Ovis aries: one gene and its partners. The protein of the gene in region 2 interacts with the protein of the main gene of each other region in a biochemical or structural test. Links are inferred from orthologs where the notes say so. Each region holds a gene or a part of one and is shown on either strand. Other genes may lie near its edges.

What was found.
Region 1: of the proteins of CHEK1 (region 2) and ATM, one has a biochemical effect on the other in vitro, tested with the Homo sapiens proteins (2 studies listed by BioGRID, with this or other methods). The link is inferred for Ovis aries from reciprocal best matches to the Homo sapiens genes CHEK1 and ATM.
Region 3: of the proteins of CHEK1 (region 2) and CDC25A, one has a biochemical effect on the other in vitro, tested with the Homo sapiens proteins (7 studies listed by BioGRID and IntAct, with this or other methods). The link is inferred for Ovis aries from reciprocal best matches to the Homo sapiens genes CHEK1 and CDC25A.

Annotation. Positions count from the first base shown.
Region 1 is NC_056068.1:17,635,785-17,642,742, reverse strand, and holds part of ATM (serine-protein kinase ATM), read right to left. Parts: intron 6,194-6,958; coding exon 6,080-6,193; intron 5,529-6,079; coding exon 5,311-5,528; intron 4,822-5,310; coding exon 4,614-4,821; intron 3,745-4,613; coding exon 3,631-3,744; intron 3,259-3,630; coding exon 3,100-3,258; intron 2,645-3,099; coding exon 2,506-2,644; intron 1,457-2,505; coding exon 1,374-1,456; intron 72-1,373; coding exon 1-71.
Region 2 is NC_056074.1:26,494,542-26,502,250, reverse strand, and holds the start of CHEK1 (serine/threonine-protein kinase Chk1), read right to left. Parts: upstream 3,918-7,709; 5' UTR 3,354-3,917; intron 3,094-3,353; 5' UTR 3,074-3,093; coding exon 3,009-3,073; intron 1,267-3,008; coding exon 1,043-1,266; intron 1-1,042. UniProt on the Homo sapiens protein: Serine/threonine-protein kinase which is required for checkpoint-mediated cell cycle arrest and activation of DNA repair in response to the presence of DNA damage or unreplicated DNA.
Region 3 is NC_056072.1:51,707,016-51,713,973, reverse strand, and holds part of CDC25A (M-phase inducer phosphatase 1), read right to left. Parts: intron 5,703-6,958; coding exon 5,571-5,702; intron 4,715-5,570; coding exon 4,640-4,714; intron 2,671-4,639; coding exon 2,494-2,670; intron 1-2,493. UniProt on the Homo sapiens protein: Tyrosine protein phosphatase which functions as a dosage-dependent inducer of mitotic progression. Directly dephosphorylates CDK1 and stimulates its kinase activity. Also dephosphorylates CDK2 in complex with cyclin-E, in vitro.

The DNA of each region.
Region 1 (6,958 bases), on a different chromosome or scaffold from region 2:
CCTGCTAAACGAAATTGTTCTTTAAATGACTTTATAGTCACCAGATTTCCATATTCTCCTGTGGGGTCCACCTAATAAAGTATATGATAATACCTTAGTATTCAATTTGCATTTAAAGAAAAATGAATTTTAAATGACAATTTTAATATTAAGCAAAGGAATGAATGACAATATGCTGTTGGTTAAGAACAGAAGTGGTAACTTTATAAATGAAAGAAAGGAGATTTGACATTGGAAATGCTTCAAAAAGCAATATAGATAACACAATTTACCTCCTTAAATATCTCTAATATAAGAAGTTAGATGAGTGTTGCTGAAAAAACTATATTCAATAACCCTGGTTCAGGAGTTACCACTGATCTGTGAATGCTAAGTCATCAATATAAATTAACTCATCTCCTCACAAAAACAATAAGAGAAATTTTAGAAAAGTATGGAGAAGAGTTTTCTAGGTTTTAATTGCTAAATCTGGCAGTTTCACAAGATATTTAAATAAGTAACTTTGCTGATAGGTTATTACACGATGAAGCTACAAATAACCATACATATTAAACATTAAACTGCAAACTCAAAGGAGAGATTTTACAATGTAGTTAAAATGATCATTTTCTAAACTGTAATCTTTATTTATTATGGGCTTCCCAGGTGGCTTGGTGGTAAAGAATCCACCTGCCAATGCACGAGACGTGGGTTAGATCCTAGGGTTGGGAAGATCCCCTAGAGAAGGAAATGGCAACCCAGTCCAATATTCTTGCCTAGAAAATTTCAAGGACAGAGGAGCCTGGAGCGCTGCAGTCCTTGGGGTCACAAAAGAGATGGACATGACTTAGTGACCAAACAACCTTTATTATTATATTTACCCCTGCCCACATCGTACTTCCAGCAATAAAAAACCATTAGGACATAGCTGAAAGTGTCATGTATATTACAGTCAATACTGTAATATATATTGTATTATTTAATATTGTAACACATCGCAGTCAATACATTCTAACATGTACAGAATTTTAAAACTCAATATAAAACAATTAGGAACTTTCTTGCTCAGTTAAAAATTAATATTGACATAAACACACAAAATATTTCCTTCTTCTGGCCAATGAAAATACCAATAACAGCTTACAGACTTCTTCATAAGAAAGATGACAACTGTAAAAACTGAAGGAAATAGAAAAGAAAGCAGGAGAGATCTTTAAGTATTTTAAGTCTTGGGCAAAGGGAATCCAATAAAGAAAAAACTATTGGTTGAAACAAATGAAATTGCCAATAATTAACCAATTTTGACCTACAATAAAAGGCTATTTCAAATGGTTTAACTTGCTAAAAAGTAATTTAGTTTAATTAAAAAATCAAAACGGTTAATAGCAAATTACCTTAATTTCCATAGTAGGGACAACAACATCTTCTAAATTTTTAAGTTTGATAATGGGCTGGTCTGCTGGAATATTTATGCCTTCTGTATTTAAAATAAAGAAGTTTCAGTGACAACTGCAAATTGAGCAACAGTATTGTAGGTAAAGCAGGAGAATTCAGCAGATACCATAAACCCAAACTATGGCTAATCTGTGGTTCTGATTTAGAAATGAAGACCAAAGACTTGGGACATAATGCCGCTCAGGGTCAGGGCATAGCAATGAGTAATGTGGCTTACAGATGAATTTGCAGGTTACCTGGCACTGGTAATTAGACCAGACTCCACCTGAGGTGCCAAGTTGGACAACTTAAGATAATTATATAATAGTATGAACAGCACATAGATAATGCTATACATATTATTATTAAATGTGACTAAACAACATGACAGTATTCTTTGTTTGCTTAGAGGAACACTATGAGAAGCCTCATTTTTATTTTAAAATAGTAAGAATTTAACTATGAAGACATGATTCTGAACGGAAAAAAAGAACATAATTATTAAAGTTTGGGGAGACAGATACACACAACCAAATTATAGCAGCTTATAATTATTTAAAGAGACACAGCAAGAAGAGTGATGGAGAAAATGATAGTCTTTTCATTTTTAAGTCCTAGAATGCAGTTATCTGTTAAAAATCAGTTCCACAACAAGATATTAAGCGAAAAAGTAACTGGAGGGGTATTGAAGGCTTTTAGATAAAAATAAAGTTTTGAATTACGTGTGAGTTATAATCATCAAAACTTTCATATCTATAATTAATGTGAGTTGAGCAGATTTACATTCTGTTCTGTAATTAAAATATCCCTATAGAGAATAAGTGGGCTTCCCTGGTGGCTCAGCAGTAAAGAATCTGCCTGCAATGCAGGAGACTCAGATTCAGTCCCTGGGTTGCGAAGATCTCCTGGAGAAGGAAATGGCAACCCACTCCAGTATTCTTGCCTGGGAAAATGGGAAATCTTATGGACAGAAGAGCCTGGCAGACTATAGGCCATGGGGTCACAAAACAGTCAGATATGACTTAGCACCTAAAAACAACAACAGAGATTAACATAGCAAGAATGCAACATTCATTCTTTCAAATTGCATACTTCTCTGAGTCCTCCACTGAGTGGCATCTAAATTTGCTAGTATAATATAAGCATCACAAAGTGCCTCAACACTTCTGACCATCTGAGGTCTCCTACTTCGGATAGTACGTATTATTTTGTTAGCAGCCTCGGTTCGATCCTAATAATAAAATACAAACAAAAAATATTACAAAAGCAAATATGCAACATTAAAACTTTTAGAGTTATAAAAACAAAAAAATGGAATTTATGTACATATCTAGACAATGGAAGGACTATAATTCCTCAGAGACAAAGCAGTCACTGTATTATGAATGAAACATATCAAAGGTATAATAATCTCAAGAGTAAATGACTTGGGTGCCTTGTAAAATCTATTTTTTCTTTCCTCATTACGCTGAGGAAAAACAGTAAAATACCTTTGGTATCTCTTATGCTTTGAGAAATATTCAGGAATTTTGAACCAGTTTTAGGTAGCATCATAATAACAAAGGATTTACAAATTTAATATTGTAACAATACATACTCTTTGAATTCCTGAGACTTAAGAAAGGAATATTTTGAGAAAAAATGAATATCGCAATTAAAAAAGGTATGCATGTTCAATCCAAATACCTCATCAAGCTGAGAGCTTTGTTTAGGTGCATTTTTAGTAATTCTACTCCTTCTGGCTGCCTCTGGTTTGGTCAAAAATTCATCTTTGTTTGCATTTGCTAAGGCCAATATGATAAACAAAGTGTGATGAGGATGATCCATTGAAATTCTAGAGATGAGCTGTCAGAAAATTAAGAACTGTTAATTTTATGGAAAGAAAAAAATTAAAAATCCATAACTTTTTAAATTTAAATTTTGCTTAACATTAAGATACGTTTTACTGTGCTAGATGCTACAGTGGGTGGACTGTGTGTGGGGGGCGGGAGTGGTGATGTGGTATGTATGGGTGAGAGAAGTATATGAGGAAAAACAAAGAGAAAGTGAGTAACATGTGGCATATGAAAGGAGACGAAAGAGAATATTCTTGCCCTTATATAACATAATAAATATGACTGATGATACTTTTTTGTGTAGCCACTTTCTAGAGTGGAACAGTAATATACAATAATATAAAAGAAAAGCAATTGTGGTTTGATTTTCATGTTTACTTACATTATTGAGGACTTCATGAAATCCTAGACCTCCCATCATCTTGGTCCCCATTCTAGCAGCCAATTGGTACATAAGAGGCAAAAATTTGTATGATGGAATCTTCATTCCATCTCTCTGCCATTAAAAAAATACAAAATTAAAAAGCAATGCATTTCAACTAGACCTCATATCTAAAAAAATACAAAATGCTCCTCTATTAGTGCAATCATCAAGCAGACATATTTTTTCCTTATCATTTATCTTAAAGTCTAGATTGACTCACTGGTAAATCATGTTTGAACCTGTACCAGATTGCATTCAAAAGTGGAATACTTGGTACTGCTTATATTCCAATGAATCCAAGGAGGACAAACATTGATCTAAGGACTATTGTAATCTTGACTCCTGAGAAGTCAGTGTGAATAAAATGGAATAACTATTTTCCCCTCCATTCTAAAAGTAACAGGATTTAATGTACACTAGTAGCAGAAATTTGTTGTATCTCTTATGAGTATTCTCTTCAGCCAGAAGAACTATTTTAAGCTTCAAACTGATTGAAATATAACTTTAGATGTCAATAAAACCCAAGATTTTTAAATAAAAATTTATAAAATTCTACTGCCTTAATGTTTTCTTAAAATGGTTTTTTTCCATTTAAAAAATAATTTATTGTAAAAAAAAAAAAAAAACAAAGAGAAAATAATAGAGCAGGGGTTAAAAAAACACCACCTGTGATCACATCATCTTTTAATTGCTTTCCAAATTTCCCAGTCTAGCATTCTGGGTACTTTCCAATGGTAATTTAAATGCTACAGGAAAAGACTGACCTAAATTCTCTCATATCCACATAAACCTATATCATTAGAGTTAGTTAAGTACCTATGTGCAGTGCCCTAAACCAACTGCCAAGGATACAAAGTATACAAAATGCATGACATTTGAGGGGCTAATGGCTTAACTTTTAAAGCACAGGCTAGAATACTGGGGTGAAAAAGAAAACTTGCCTTCATCATGCCATTGACTTCAGAAACTCCAGAATTTTCAAGCCAGAGAGAACAAAGACGAAATATCCACATATCATGCCCTTCACCACTTAATAAGCAATTGATGTAATTTTCAACTGCTTTACATAAGAAACGTTTACGATCCTCTTTCAATGCACGGAGTGCACATTCATCCAACTCTAGCTCTCGCTGAACCTTTACTGTGTATCTTACATTGGATAATTAAAATAAAACACAAAAGCTGTTAAATTTTATAGAACTACAAAATCAAATAAGATATAAAATATAAATGAAAAATCAGGTGTCCATCTTTGGAGAAAAAGCAACATTCTAAGAATTATAAAGAGAATAAACTTACTTTTGTCTTTAAGTTTCTGCAATTCAAAAGCTATTTTAGGCAACCAAAGTAGACTCTATGCAAGGTATTTCATTAACTTTATTTTCTACTTACACTAAAATATATATAAAAGCAGGTTTGAAAAAAGTATTTAATTACATCAAACTAAGTAACTCCTCTCTAATTTCAACACATATCTCTTTTTCAACTATGATACCAACAAACAAACTAAAAAAGCAAAACAAAAAGTTAACACCAGTATATTTCACAATTAGTATAGAGCCACAGCATGAATTCCTATCTGGTTCTGTATACCTGTATAAATACTGTATATCTTGTTACTTGTAGACCCTCAGTTACCTGTTGGTCTGGATTTTATGTTCCCTAAGTAGGCCAACTTCCTCCTTGGCTCTTTTCAGAAGAGCTTGCTTATTTTCAAATTCTGAGGATTTCATGTAGTTTTCAATTCTTTGGTATTGAGTATCTGAGAACCGTGCTAATGAGAGAAATGCCTTCATTTTTCCATTTCTCAGGCCATCATTGCTTTCTCCATCATAATTTTCAGCAACTTCCACAGCCTTCAAGAAAAAAACAATCCATTTATATTTACAGATACTAAATGCATCTAAAGAATTACTCAGATCAAAGAAATATCCACAGTAAAATTTAACATATATATATGTATATAAGCTAAATTATACAAAATACAGTACTTTGAGTTTTCAAAACAATTTTGACAGAGCAGAAACAACAAATAGCTAATATGTGTAAAGAATGGTACAAAAACATAAAGCTCTATAAAACTAAAAAAACATATTAGGCTTTTCATGTTCATTTATTAGTAAAGTAGCTATTTTAAAAATTAAACTATATGAATAAGAGGGAGAAACAGGAAGCTCAAAGGTGGTAGAAGCACTGGGTTGAGAAGATCCCGTGGAGGAGGGCATGGCAACCCACTCCAGTATTCTTGCCTGGAGAATCCCACGGACACAGGAGCCTAGCAGGCTACAATCCATGGAGTTGTTAAGACTTGGACACCACTGAGCAACTTTCACTTCATTTCACTTCTATGAAAAGATCAAATGTATTTATGCTAAGCGATTCTATTAGGGTTCCTCAAAAACCTTACCTTTTCTAGATAGGTCTGCATGATGACTGCAGGATTTTCTAAGCAAGTTTCTGCTAACCAAGTGCCACAAACTCTTAGACATTCTGTGTATATAAGTTTTAAGTTGGGATCATTCTGTAAAGGAAAGCAAAGTCTTAAAATGTAATTCATTATCATGACTGTACAAAAATATCTTCCATGTAGGAAAAAAACAGGTTAAAAATGTCTTTCATCATTTGCTTTCAACTTACAACTATTTTAATAATTCCAAATATTTACCTTTATAAAATAATCATTCTCTACTACTAGTACTATTATTACTATTATTGAAACAACTCACATATATTGAGTACTTTTATATGATTGGCATTATTACTATATAAAATAATATATAATAATTCAGTTAATCCTCACAAGAATCCTATGAAATAAGAACAATTATTATCCTTAATTAGAAAACTACAACTGAAGTACAAAGAGGGTAGGTAACTTCAGGGTCCATCAGTTCAGTTCAGTTGCTTAGCTGTGTCCAACTCTTTGCGACCCTATGGACTGCAGCACGCCAGGCCTCCCTGTCCATCACCAACTCCTGGAGTTTACTCAACATCCTATCCATTGAGTCGGTGATGCCATTCAACTATCTCATCCTCTGTCATTCCCTTCTCCTCCTGCCTTCAATCTTTCCCAGTATCAGGGTCTTTTCCAATGAGTCAACTCTTCACATCAGGTGGCCAAAGGATTGGAGTTTCAGCTTCAACATCAGTCCCTCCAATGAACACTCAGGATTGATCTCCTTTAGGATGGACTGGATAGATCTCCTTGCAGTCCAAGGGACTCTCAAGAGTCTTCTCCAACACCACAGTTCAAAAGGATCAATTCTTCGGCCCTCAGCTTTCTTTA
Region 2 (7,709 bases):
TTTATATCCTTCAAATTCACCCCTGATTTCTTCTAAATGCTATGCCAATATTTTTTTCTACTCCTGAAATGTAATTGTCAAAGTGGAAGCCTAGCAAATCTAAGCCGATTTCCTAAATATACAAGAAATTTAAATTTCATATAATTTCTCACACCACAAAGCCATGCATGTCTATGAATTGATTTCTTTTATACTCAATTCTTTTCTGAGATACATCTTTTTGGAGATTCTAATAATCACTTTTCAACTATTAATACATCTAAATAATAAATTTAAGTCCACAGAATATTTTATGTAATTCTCAGTATTCTTTAATATCAAGACTTTTAATCTTAAGTAGCAAAACAAAAAATAGAGAAGGCAATGGCACCCCACTCCAGTACTCTTGCCTGGAAAATCCTATGGATGGAAGAGCCTGGTAGGCTGTAGTCCATGGGGTCGCTAAGAGTCGGACACGACTGAGCGACTTCACTTTCATGCATTGGAGAAGGAAATGGCAACCCACTCCAGTGTTTTTGCCTGGAGAATCCCAGGGACAGGGGGAGCCTGGTGGGCTGCCGTCTATGGGGTCACACAGAGTTGGACACGACTGAAGTGACTTAGCAGCAGCAGCAAAAATAGTACTTAATATATATATAAATCCTATAAAATTCTCAATTATTTCACTTATATAATAACCTCTTATTTCAGATCTATAAATGAATGCAACAATTTCATGAGACTAGAATGTCTAAAACTGCATAGGCATACAATACATTGCACTTATGATACTTCACGCACCAAGAAACCACAGCTTATCATTCTTAAACTCTACAAAACAGAAATGCCAACCAAAATCACTTATACAACTTGGGGGAAAATTTCTTTGATGATTCTACATATGCATTCAGTGTTGACATAAGTTGCAAAAACAAAAAAATTTACTCGTTTCACTATCGCATAAGCAATTCTGAATGGACAGTGAACAAACAGAAGCCCCAAGATTAAAAGACAAATTTAAAAACTTATTTAGCAGAAGAATTATCTGAAAATTTTTCCATACCTATTCTATCAAAAAGTTCTCCCCCACTGCAGTACTCCAAAAATAGATACTGGATATTGCCTTCTCTTCTGTGACCGTAAAATTTCACTACATTCTCATGATTTAACATTTTATTGATACAGATCTCTTTCTTTATATTTTCTGGACAGTCTATGGCACGTTTCATATCCACAATCTTCACTGCAACTGCTTCTTCTGTTCTTCTATTCACAGCAAGTTGAACTCTAAAAAGAAAAAGGAAGAAATATAATATTCCAGACATTTGACCTGTATTTCTTTTAAAACTTCAAAAGATTAAACATAACTCATCCAAAACTATTTTACCTTTATTACTTTCGCCACTTGGAAGAAACCATGGGAATGGTTTCTGCCATGTCCTCAACAGATAATACTCCTTTCTGAAATGTGAAGTATAATAGCTAATGCTCCAAAGAAGTCATTATGTTGTACATCCAAAAGTAATATATAAACACTTGATAAATTAAAAATGGAATAACAGCAATTCTAGGCCACATCACACATATACATGCTCTATTCATTTAATTTCTCTTCCAATTTTACTGAGATATAAGTGCCATAAAGCACTGAAATGATTATCACAATAAATTTAGTGACAATCTATCATTTTTTACAGATAAAAAATTTTAAAAATAGAAAAAATAACTTTCCTTGTGATGAGAACTCATTATTTACTATTTTAAATTTCATCTATAACATATAGCAGTGTTGATATTAAGAATGCTGTACATTACATCTCTAGAACTTATTTATCTTATAACTGGAAGTTTGTAGCTTTTGACCATCTTCACCCAAATCCCCCTCCCCCTACACCCTGCTCTGATAACCACAAATCTCATCTCTTTTTCTGTGAGTCTGTTTGTCTTTGAAGTATAATTGGCTTACAATGCTGGATTAGTTCCTGTTACCAAATAGTGATTTGATATTTCTTTACATTTCAAAATGATCACCACTCTATGTCTAGTTAGGATATGCTACCATACAAAGATATTACATAATTACTGACTATACTCTCCAACTGTACATTTCATACTGAAGACTTATTTTGCAACTGTATGCTTGTACAAGTAGTTCTCTCCTCCCACCACCCTCCCCTCTGGCAACCACCTGTTTGTTTTAACTCTGTTTCTCTTTTGTTACTTTTGTTCATTTGTTTTGTTTCACCTAGTAAGTGAAACCATACAGTATTTGTCTTTCTCTGCCTGACCTATTTAAACTTGGCATAATACGCTCCAGGTCCATGTTGTCGCAAATGTCAAGATTTCATTCTTGCTCTAGTCATTTAATTTTAGTAACATTACCTAACATTTATTAATTTGATACTATACATGTCTATGGTAAATGTTCTAAGTACCTACAGGATATGTACTATTATTGCCATTTTACAGCTGAAGCAACAGGCACACAAGGATTTTAGGAAGCTCACCTAGGGACTTCCTTGGTGGTCCCCTGGTTAAGACCCCACCCCATGTTTCTACTGCTTGGGGCACAGGTTCAATCTCTGGTCCGCCTCCTGCAAGCAGGATGGAACGGCCATGGAACGGCCAAAAAAGAAAAAGCTTGCCTAAGCTTCACAAAACAAAGGTCAGTAATGTGGCTCCAGAGTCTGAATGTTCATTTGCTCATTTAACCACTATGTTTAAACCCCAGGAAAGACTATATGGGAGGAAAAACCGATTTCAGAAATCTCTAAATTTTAGGGAAAAAATGCTTTGCTTTGCTCTGTTTTGCACCCCGCCCCCCCCCCCAAAAAAAGAAGAAAAAACAAACCGTTAACTCTTACAAAAGATTGTGTACCTTCAGTCTCACAAAGTTTTGGAATTTGCATGCAAAGATCTGTTCTTTGGGGCGACACAGTGTTGAACAATTCCTGGACAATGAATATGTACTCAAAGGAGACAGAAAACCAAAGCAAGTGTAAAGGCGGGTAAAACGGACTCAGACTCACTCTCCATAGGCACCTTCTCCCAGGGTTTGCACCAAGTCCCAGTCTTCCACAAAGGGCACTGCCATGACTCCACTCAGTCCCGCGGCTGTAAGGGCAGGAACCCAGAAAAGACGGTTGGTGAGGACGAGCTTCAATCATTTCTAAAGCCTCTGAGCTCCGCCTCTTGCCGTGATTCCCCCGAGATAAATCACTGCTCCTGGTTTCACATCATCCGTATTTTATCCAAGTCTTTTAAAGCATGAGCAAGTATCCTGAACTGCGGCATTTGATTGATAACTCACAAGCCCCACTGCCACGCAAACCCAAAGCTAAAACCCCGCTTTCCAGGAGGCAGAGGAAATGTACCAGCAACGCTGAGGAGCTGGTGACCAGTGCTGTACGGCGGGGACTGGTGAAGGGGGCGAGAAGTGAAGTCTCGGGTTAGAGTAAGGGGGTGAGGGCTAGTGGAGGAGGAAATAACCGCGGGGACCGCAGCCACTCCTCCCCACCCACTCACTCCCAATTCCCACCCCCACCCCGTCCCCAAGGCCAGGAGGAGCCCGGGGCGGGGCCAAACTGCCCCAAGAAGCGGAAGGGCTGGGTGGCACGCGGACCGCCGGGCCCCAAACCTTGGGGGCTCCCAGCCAGCAGAGGCGGCTTCTCTCCAGTCCCTGTACAACGGGGACCCCCGCCACCATACTCCTCCACCCTCCGAAACCACCCCTCCGAGGGAGCCTCTCCGATCCTTTGGGATCGGAACCGAGAACGTTCTGTCACCGTGCCCCTCCTAAATCATGTAGTCCCGGAACTCCAGCTCCAGGAGCCTTTCCCACTCTACCGGCCGCCCTTCCTCACCAGGCCGTCCTTTGCCCGCCACCACAGGAATCCAAATGCAGGGCTTTTCCCGCCAAAAGTTGCTGGCGTCACATTGTCGCAAACGCGCGCTCCCTTGCCGTAAAGCAGAGAGGTGCGCGTTCCCGGCCCGGCGGATCTGCAGATTGGCAGCGCCTGGGGCCAGGGCTGGTCCTCCATGCCGGCGGAGACCAGGGTTACTTTGGAATCGGGACGAGATCCGGGCGGAAGAGGTTTTGGGAGGTTTTGGAACTGCGGACTGCATCGGTTGCGAATGACCTCCGGGCCCAAACGCGAAGTGGGACTCCGCCCTCCGGCCTCGCGCTCCCGGGGAGAGCGGCACCGCGGAGCTCGCTGCCCGCCACCGAAGCCCCGAGCACCTTGCCCCGTGGCCTGGCAGGGTAACCAGGATCACACGCCATAAGAGCTGCTTCAGTGACTATAAAGCTCGGCCCAGGTAAAACTGGAGCCTAGAAGCTGGGAACAGCTGTTGAGAATTGATCCTGTTTAGAATGAAAGGAACTTTGTGATGTGAGCGAGATGCATCAAACACTGGCCACACAGCAGTGGTTGGGAAGGCATCCGGGTGAAGAAAGCTATTCTTTTGTGGCTTGAGATGTCAGGAAAACCAATTCTGCCCTGTCTTGTCCGAACAGGCACCAAAACAATACCTCCAACTCAGCCTTTTTGAAGGAAGTGCAACTGCATGGCTTAGTTCTACCCACTGTCTTTAATGTGTAAGAAACAGGCAAAACAGCGTTTTGTATAAGCAAAAACGCTGCGTTTTTACAATGCATAGTTTAAAAGCAGAATAACCAGTTTAGGTGGGAAAGTAAATTCTGGGAAAGAGATTGGCTAGAGAACAAAACAGTGTGGAAAAACTGAAACAGATACTCCCTCTCGACAGTAAAGACTAGGAACTCAAGGAGCAAGTAAGGGTATCTTCAAATTCTCCAGTTCTTAAAACTGGGCCGCATACATTTAACATAATTAGCTCTTGATTGTGATACTGGTAAAACAAGTGTACAAAAATGCACACACTGGATTTAAAGTGAGGGACAAAAAACAAGTCAGAACACAGAAATTCAACCACACTTGAGGTTTCATGTAAGCTTTCCAGATTGTTTACTCCACTTTCTCTAGTTTCTGCACGGCCTGTTGCAAATAAAGAATATGAAGCGAAGTGTCTGGATACAGTAAAGGTATCTTACCCTGAAAAAAAAATGAGGTATACACATTTCAGGCAGAGTATCAGCTAAAGACAGCATATGGGGGAATAGATACAAAAAGCTCTGTTCCTTTTTGAAACCTTACTAAAACAGTAAATATTAAAATATTCCATTAATTTAGCTTAATATTTACTATTAAAATTTAGTATTTTAGTAAGGTTTCAGAATGGAATAAAGTTTACTATTTTAAAGGAGACTTTTTAAAGGCAATAACCTACAAATATAGATGAAAAAACAATAACATAGATGAAAGAAGATAAATTCCATCTTAGAATTGCCCAGAGATTCAAGTTCAATTAGTTATATGACAACATGTAACTGAATGGGGTTTTACAGGTGGCCCTAGTTGTAAAGAATCTACCTGCCAGTGCAGGAAACAACAAAACACAGGCTCAGTCCCTGACTTGGGAAAATCCCCTGGAGTAGGAAGTGGCAATCCACTCCACAACTGAGCACACACATACATGTAACTGAATGAGGCAAAAGTGAAGTTAAGTTGTTCAGTCTTGTCCGAATCTTGGTGACCCCATGGACTGTAGCCCACCAGGCTCCTCCATCCATGGAATTTTCTAGACAAAGAGTACTGGAGTGGATGCCATTTTCTTCTCCAGGGGATCTTCCCAATCCAGAGATCAAACCCAGGTCTCCAGCATTGCAGGTAGACACTTGATCCTCTGAGCCGCCAGGGAATCCCTGGTGGTAAATGAGGCAAGAAGTGAAGTGAAGTCGCTCAGTTGTGTCCGACTCTTTGCGACCCCATGGACTGGAGCATACTGGGCTTCTCCGTCCATGGGACTCTCCAGGCAAAAATACTGGAGTGGGTTACCATTTCCTTCTCCAGGGGATCTTCCTGACCCAGGGATCGAACCCGGGTCTGCCGCATTGGAGGTAGACGCTTTTAACCTCCGAGCCACCAGGGAAGTCCTAAATGAGGCAAAGGTGGGGCTAAAAGATGGTGAAGGACTATTTATGAAGCAAACACATCCTTGGTCTCCTCCCTTTCCTCTGTAGGGAAGGAAATGCCTCTCTCTAAAGTAGGTCCTAGACTTGAGAGGGAAAATACATGGTTATCTAAACTGCAAAGGATCAGGCCCAGTTAAGTCTTGGGTACCTAACTGAAAACAAAAGGATTAAGTTTATACACTGCAGGTTATTTTCCAATCCCAAAGAAAGGCAATGCCAAAGAAATGTTCAAACTACCACACAACTGCACTCATCTCACACGCTAGCAAAGTAATGCTCAAAATTCTCCAAGCCAGGCTTCAACAGTACATGAACCGTGAACTTCCAAATGTTCAAGCTGAATTTAGAAAAGGCAGGGGAACCAGAGATCAAATTGCCAACATTCATTGGATCATCAAAAAAGCAAGAGATTTCCAGAAAAACATCTACTTCTGCTTTATTGTCTACGCCAAAGCCTTTGACTGTGTGGATCACAACTGTGGAAAATTCTTCGAGATAGGAATACCAGACCACCTGACCTGCCTCTTGAGAAATCTGTATACAGATCAGGAAGCAACAGTTAGAACTGGACATGGAACAACAGACTGGTTCCAAATTGGAAAAGGAGTACATCAAGGCTGTATATTGTCACCCTGCTTATTTAACTTATATGCAGCGTACATCATGCAAAATACCAGGCTGGATGAAACATAAGCTGGAATCAAGATTGCCAGGAGAAATATCAATAACCTCAGATATATAGAAGACACCACCCTTACAGCAGAAAGTGAAGAACTAAAAAGCCTCTTGATGAAAGTGAAAGAGGAAAGTGAAAAAGCTGGCTTAAAACTCAACATTCAGAAAACAAAGATCATGGCATCTGGTCCCATCACTTCATGGCAAATAAATGGAAAAACAATGCAAACAGTGACAGACTTCATTTTGGGGTGCTCCAAAATCACCACGGATGGTGATTGCAGCCATGAAATTAAAAGATGCTTGCTCTTTGGAAGAAAAGTTATGACCAACCTAGACAGCACATTAAAAAGCAGAGACGTTACTTCGCCAACAAAGGTCCGTCTAGTCAAAGCTACGGTTTTTCCAGTAGTCGTGTATGGATGTGAGAGTTGGACTATAAAGAAAGCTGAGCACCAAAGAATTGTTGTTTTTGAACCGTGGTGTTGGAAAAGACTCTTGAGAGTCCCTTAAACAGCAAGGAGATCCAACCAGTTCATCCTAAAGGAAATCAACTCCTTGGAAGAAAAGTTATGACCAACCTAGATAGCATATTCAAAAGCACAGAGACATTACTTTGCTGAAAAAAAAAAAAAAAAAGAAAAAAAAACTAAAGGAAATCAGTCCTGAATATTCATTGGAAGAACTGATGCTGAAGCTGAAACTCCAATACTTTGGCCACCTGATGCAAAGAACTAACTCACTGGAAAAGACCCTGATGCTGGGAAAGATTGAAGGCAGGAGAAGGGGACAACAGAGGATGAGATGGTTGGATGGCATCACCGACTCAATGGACATGAGTCTGAGTAAACTACAGTTGATGATGGACAGGGAGGCCTGGCGTGCTGCACTCGATGGGGTCGCGAAGAGTCAGACACGACTGAGCAACTAAACTGAACTGAAGGTTAAACCTCTGAGCCTTTTTTCCTCACTTGACTCCCTTAAGTCTGACAGCCTGGCTTAT
Region 3 (6,958 bases), on a different chromosome or scaffold from region 2:
AATGGAATATTCACATATGAAAGAATGAAAATTAGGCCCCTATATTCCATTATTCACAATAAATAACTCAAGATGGAGTAAAGACTTAAATTTGAGACAGGAAACTGTTAAACTCCTAGAAGAAAACACAGGAAAAAAGTTCCTTGATGTGGGTCTGGGCAATTTTTTGGATCTGACACCTAACATACCTAAGCAGCAAATCAAACTGAAAAGCTTCTACCCATTAAAAGAAATGATCAACAAAATGAAAACTACATCCGGAATTGGAAAAAATATCTGCAAACCACATTATCTGATAAGGGGTTAATATCCAAAATGTCAGGAATCCATACAACTTAATAAAACCCTCCACCAAAAAAAAAAAAAAAAAAAAACCTCCTAAATAAACCAGTTTTACAAACAGAAAAGGATCTGAATAGACATTTTCCCAAAGGTACAGAAATGGCCAACAGGGACACAAAAAGATGATCAATATCCAGACTACAGTGAAATATCACCTCAGGCCTATAAGAAAGACTATCTTCAAAAAGACAAGATGGGGCTTCTCTGGAGGCTCAGTGGTAAGAATCCGCCTGTCAATGCAGGAGACATGGGTGCGATCCCCAATCCGGGAAGATCTCACGTGCCTTGGAGCAACTAAGTCTGTGTGCCGCAACTACTGAGCCTGTGCTCTAGAGCCTGGGAGCTGCAACTACTGAGCCCACATGCTGCACCTGTTGAAGCCCGAGTGCCCTGGAGCCCGTTCTCTGCAACGAGAAGCCACTACGATGAGAAGTCCACGCACCACAACTGTAGAATAGCCCCTGCTCACCGCAACTAGAAAAGTCTGAGCAGCACCGAAGACCCAGCACAGCCAAACAAGGAAAAAAAAAAACCAACAAATTATAAAATGAATCACTTAAAAAAAAAAAAAAGACAAGAGCAATTCCCTGGTGGCCCACTGTTAGGATTCCACACTTTTACTGCTGAGGGCCTGAGTTCAATCCCTGGCAAGGAAACTAAGATCCCCCAAGCCCATGGAGTGGCCAAAAAAAAACAAAAGACAAGAAACAAGTGTTGATAAGGATGTGAAGACAAGGGAACACCTGTACAGTACTGGTGGGGCTGTAGAGTGGGATGGCTGCTATGGAAAACAGTATGGACGTACCTTAAAAAGTTGAACCCAAAACATATGATCTAGCAATACCACTTCTGGAAACATATTCTAAGAAAACGAAAACACTATGTCAAGAAATATCTGCACTCACATTACAGCAGCATTATTTATAATAGCCACAACATGGAAAAAAGTGTTCACTGACAGATGAATGGATGAGGAAGCTGGAATACACATTCACACAATGGATTATTATTTAGCCATACAAAAAGAAGGAAATCCTGCTATTTGCAGTAACATGGATGGACCTTGAGGGCATTATGCTAAGTGAAATTGAAGTAAGTCGGACCGAGAAAGACAAATAAGTATATGACATCACTTGTACGGGGAATGAAAAAACTGAAAACACACAGTGCTAACCACTACCACAACCACCAAAACAAAAACCAAACTCACAGAAAAGGAGATCAGATTTGTGGGGTTACCAGAGGTAAGCAATGGAGAAGGGGGGCCAGATGAACGTGATCAAAATGTACAACTTCCAGTGATGAGACAAGTACCAGGGATGTAATGTACAACATGATGACTATAGTTAGGTCGGATGTATGGTGTATATGAAAGTAGTTGAGAATAAATCTTGAGTTCTCATCACAGAGAAATAAAAAGAAATAAAATACTAAGTGACAACGAAAAACACTATAATCAAAGTTGTGAGACAAACCTAAAGTAGCCTAAATAGGTCAGGACACAAACCTAAAGTAGTCCTAAATAGGTCAGGACACAAGAAAAATGAAAACAAACAAAACAAAAAACCCAACCAAGGGAAAAAAGTTATGGCCCTACGCCAGGACCCAACAGCAAGTGGGGAGCTTAGACTTCCACCCTTGCCCAGCTGTAATTAAGTGCCCCAATCTCAACCTCACTGGGATGGTGTTGGTGGAGGTCTAGAAGGGAGCTTGAACTTCCTTTCCCACTCCTGCCCAGCAGCCATGAGGTCTGACCTACCTAAGTAGCACATTAAGGGAGACTGAACTTCCGTCCCCCTTTCCCTGCAGTATCGGAATACTACTAAAACAGCAGTTACATAGCCTCATAACATCCAAAGTACACAGATACAACTGAAAAAAAATCTCTTCTCATATGAAGAACCAGGAAAAATCTCAACCTGAATAGGAAAAGACAATCAACAGAAAGCCACACCAGACGCAGATGCTGGAACTACCTGACTAGGATTTTAAAGTAGCCATCATAAAAATGCTTTAACAGGCAATTCTGAACAAGACTGAAACAAACGAAAAATAAAAACAGCCAGTCTCAGCAAAGAAAAACAAACAAACGTGCATTTTAGAACTGACAGATACAACATCCTTGAGCGAAAAAGAAGCTGCAGAACTAACCTCTTGGGGCTTCTGTGGACTAGCTGCCTCTTCCGGACTGGCCCCAGCCACGCTTTTCCTCCGCTTCCTGCTTCCACCTGGGGACTCCTCCAGTGATCGGTCTGGTCTTTTCAACATTGACCGGATGGTAGAGCTGCAGGACTCCGAAGGGGAGTCAAACAGCTTGCAGCGATTGCCCTTTGGGGAAAAAAAAAAAAGAGACTCATGTTTCATTAAAATACACTGATTCGAATGGTAAAGAGGACAGACCAAGGACTTCCTGGGATGGTTTAAGATCAAGCCATTCCAAAGTGGGCTTCCCAGGTGGTGCTAGTGGTAAAGAACCTGCCTGCCAGTGCAGGAGACAAAAGAAACTGGGGTTCGATCTCTGGGTCAGGAAGATCTCTGGGGGAGAGCATGGCAACACACTCCATCCAGTATTCTTGCCTGGAGAATCTCATGGACAGCGGAACCTGGTAGCCTACAGTCCACAGGGTCGCAGAGTTGGACACGACCAAAGGGACTTAGCACAGATCCTAAATTAAGAAACAGACACTGTCCGTTTATCCAGTCCTTGGCACACAGTAGACACTGAGACCTTGGTGTTCACTGAACATGTTCAAAACCTGACTGGATACAAATGAGGAAGACTACCCAGGCCCTGAAAAGCCTACATTCTGCACAGGGTCCTAAGAGTCAAAGGGTGCCTGATATACTTCCCAGCAAGTGTTACCTTCCAGCCAGGGCCACAATTCTGGCTTCCTCTTCCCCTCTACTTTATTATTTGCACCTTGCTCGAGCAGCTTGAAGAGGTTTTAACAGCCCCCTAAATCCAGAAGGTATGAGGCATCTGGATTATACTATATATTAGAGCCAGTTAAGCAGATAAAACAGAGTTGAGTTTGAGTTTGCAGTGGGCAGGGGTGCCTTCAAAACTGTTTAGAAGCCATGCTCTCTGCTTGGCTGTTTTTCTTTCTGGACTGTAGCAGAGCATTTTAAATTCAAGACTTACAAAGCCAAAGGAAATACAGGAAGATGTGCTATAATACTCCTAAGGACTACTTTCTCGGGGTTTGAGAGCAGCCACCCTGACTAGTGGTAGAGACAGTCTGACTTCAGCAACCTAAACTCATCTCACCTCGTTCACAACTCAGTGCTCTCTGGCTGGGCTTTTCCTTCTGAACTCGGTATCCTTTCACACACACCCCGCACCCCTCTCCTCCGTAAAGCACTCCCTTTCAAGCTGATACTAACATTTCAGTGTCGCCTCTTCTTTGGAAAAGTTCCTAATAGTTTGCAGCAAGTGTGTCACCCCCATTGCCTCTCCCAGAGACCAAGGGTTTTCCGCTTATTTTTCTGAAGTTCCTTTTAATAGGATGTTGCTCAGAGAAGCAAGATCATGGGGGTTATTTTTCATATGTTTGTTTTTAACCTAGAAGAGCTGGAAGCATTTTTGGAAAGAGGGTCTACAGCTTTCAGTAAGGTCTCAGAGGACCTGTAAGCTCTTCAAGGGCAGAAACCCCAGTTCTGACTCAGCCCCTGGCCCTTATGATGAGTCTACTGTGTTTGTGAAACTCTACCATTGTGAAGGGCCTACACATACTGTTTCATGGTTTTTCCATCCAACTTATAAAACTGATAGCCATTTTCCAAGCATTCTCACACTGTATATATTAATAATGTTTTCTTTCAAAAGGACTTAGTAAATCTGGTCATACCATTTTATTGGGGTGGTCTAATCTCTCAAAGCTTTGCACATTGGTCTACTATAATGTGTAAGTGGCTTCAAGACTAGACTGGTTCATTTGTTCCATATGTATAGTTCAGGGGCATGGATTAAAGATGTATTCAGCGTCTATACATATACCTAAGAGTGTGTAGCTGTATGTATACTATGATAAGAGCTCACTTTCCCTGGATGTTTACATACATGAGGATGTGTCCCTCTACAGGCACAGCTTTTGAAAGTGTCCCTGATGGAAACAGATGTCTCTAGTCTACACAAGTAGGTGGGTATTAAACAAAACAAAACACCCTTGAAAAAACAGCATACATTAACACCAGGAAACACTAGTGGCCAGCCAAACAGGCCCATAGGCTCAAATGCAGAATCTCAAAAGAAATAATTTGGATTCCTGTCACTCCCTCCAGACACACTGGAACTTACTAGGTTGCTAGTTCTTCTCATGACAAGGGGAGCTGTCCAGAGGCTGGCCATGCAGGACGGGGTCTCTTCATCATTCTAAACAAAGAAAAACTGTGTCATAAAGGTCCAAAGGTCCAGTAGAAACAACATTAGTTTAAGTGCGTTAGATTTCTTCTTGCAGAATACCAGAAAGACGTGAACAGGAAGTCTTCTAAGGGTCAATGCCTCCCCTCTCCACAACACTTTAAGGTCAAGAGAGTAAGAGTGATGCTATCTGAACATAGCTAAGGGAATGCCCCTGAGGGGCCACGAGGAGCCACTGGTCTCCTCAGCTTTACATCACATGGCAGCTATTCTTTCAGTCCCTGATTCACGTCCTTCCAGGAAAAAAAAAAGATTGTCAGCTCCTGCAGGGGAAGAAGGATCACATCAGTGTTTTCTTTGGAACACCTCCATAGAATTTAAGCAGACTAGAAGCAGAGTCAATAAATTCCCAACAGATGAATAAAAGCATCGGCCAGGGCTTCCCCTGGTGGTCCAGTGGTTAAGAATCCTCCTTGCAATGCAAGGGACACAGGTTCCACCCCTGGCCTGGGAAGGTTCCACATGCTGAGGAGCAGCTGAGCCTGTGGACAACTACAGAGCCGGTGCCCTGGAGCCCACAAGCTGCAACTGCTGAAGTCCGTGCGCTAGAGCCTGTGCTCCACAACAAGAGAAGCCGCCACCGTGAGAAACCCGTGCACCGCCACGGAAGAGTAGTCCCAGCTCTCTGCAACTAGAGAAAGCCCAGGTACAGCAACGAAGAGCAAATATAGCCAAAAAATGAATTAAGTAAGTAAACAAAACCTTAAAAAGTTATCAGCCAGTTGGGGGATCACTGTTCTTTTTCAGATGACGGCTCTCCAGGGAAAGTTAGCAAAAATGGATCGGAAAGCACATACCCACACCATACCTTCAAACTGTCTCCATCAAGAAGATCCATGAAGCCATCATCCTCATCAGACAAAGTGGGAGTCACAGGTGACTGGGGCATAAAAGGAATGGAATTCCCTGGTTCATTGCCATCTCTTTCATTTGAGGAAAGCTAGAAGACAGAATTCATGGCTTGTTAATAATCAGCTTTGATTTCTCTGAATGGGTTACTAGTTTTTATGAAGAAAATATACCATTTTCGTTTTAAGAAGTTTTAGCAGCTACAAATCAAAGGAAAAATAAGACCTAAGATTATAAACGAACTGATATCCACACACAGTTCTGATTCGAGTCAGGCCAAGTAGCCTTCATAAAGAACTCTCCCCAGGAGCAATTCACCTTATAGTGGGATCTGGGGCTAGCCTCCAATGAAGGGCAAGGCTTGTTTTTTCTGAGGATTATTAATGGTGAACAGGGATCGCATGAGGGTAGTGACAGGTGATAATCTGCTAAAGTTTGGAAGGGTGAGAAGATACCAAGTCCCTATGGAGACCACAAAACAGACTAGAGAAATGTTTCTGTAACTCCAGTTCTGACAGAGGGATATAAAGTCTAGAAGTTCTAGAAAATCCATCCTTGTTCTTTAGATTCGCAATTTAAATGACAGTTGCTCAGTTCTAACTGAGGAATTACTTGGGCCAGACACTGGGTGTGCTGGTGTGTACTTATTTGCTAAGTCGTGTCCGACTCTCGCGACCCCATAGACTGTAGCCTGCCAGGCTCCTTTGTCCATGGGATTCTCCAGGCAAGAATACTGGAGTGAGTTGCCATTTCCTTCTCCAGGGGATCTTCCTGACCCAGGAATTGAACCCAGGTCTCCTGCATTGCAGGCAGACTCTTTACTGACTAAGCTATGAAGGAAGCCCTGTTTTCAGACTGGGATATAACCTTTTATGTATAATCCCATTTAAGCCTCACAACACACTAAAGGTAGTTAATCCTCTATTTTCCATTTTTATTTAACAAATCAGGAAACCAATCCTTAAGAAAGGTTACCAAGATTACACCGCTCACTTGTTTGACGGCAAAGTCCAAGCTTTTCTGCCCATTATACTCTCCCTAGGAGAAACCATTCCTGGAGTCAAAATAAGAGTATATCTCATTAGGCAAGCCTATCTTGTTTTTTCAGTAAAACTCCCATTATAAAATGAGTTACAGGGCCTCCCTGGTGTTTCAGTGGTAAAGAATTCACCTGCCAATGCAGGAGACACAGGTTCGATCCCTGATCCGGGAAGATCCCACATGCCTGGGAGCAACTCAGCCCATGTGCCACAGCTAGTGAGCCTGTGCTTTAGAGCCCGGGAACTGCGACTACTGAGCCCACATGCCAATCACTGAAGCCCGTGTGACTGACAGATACGATCTTCT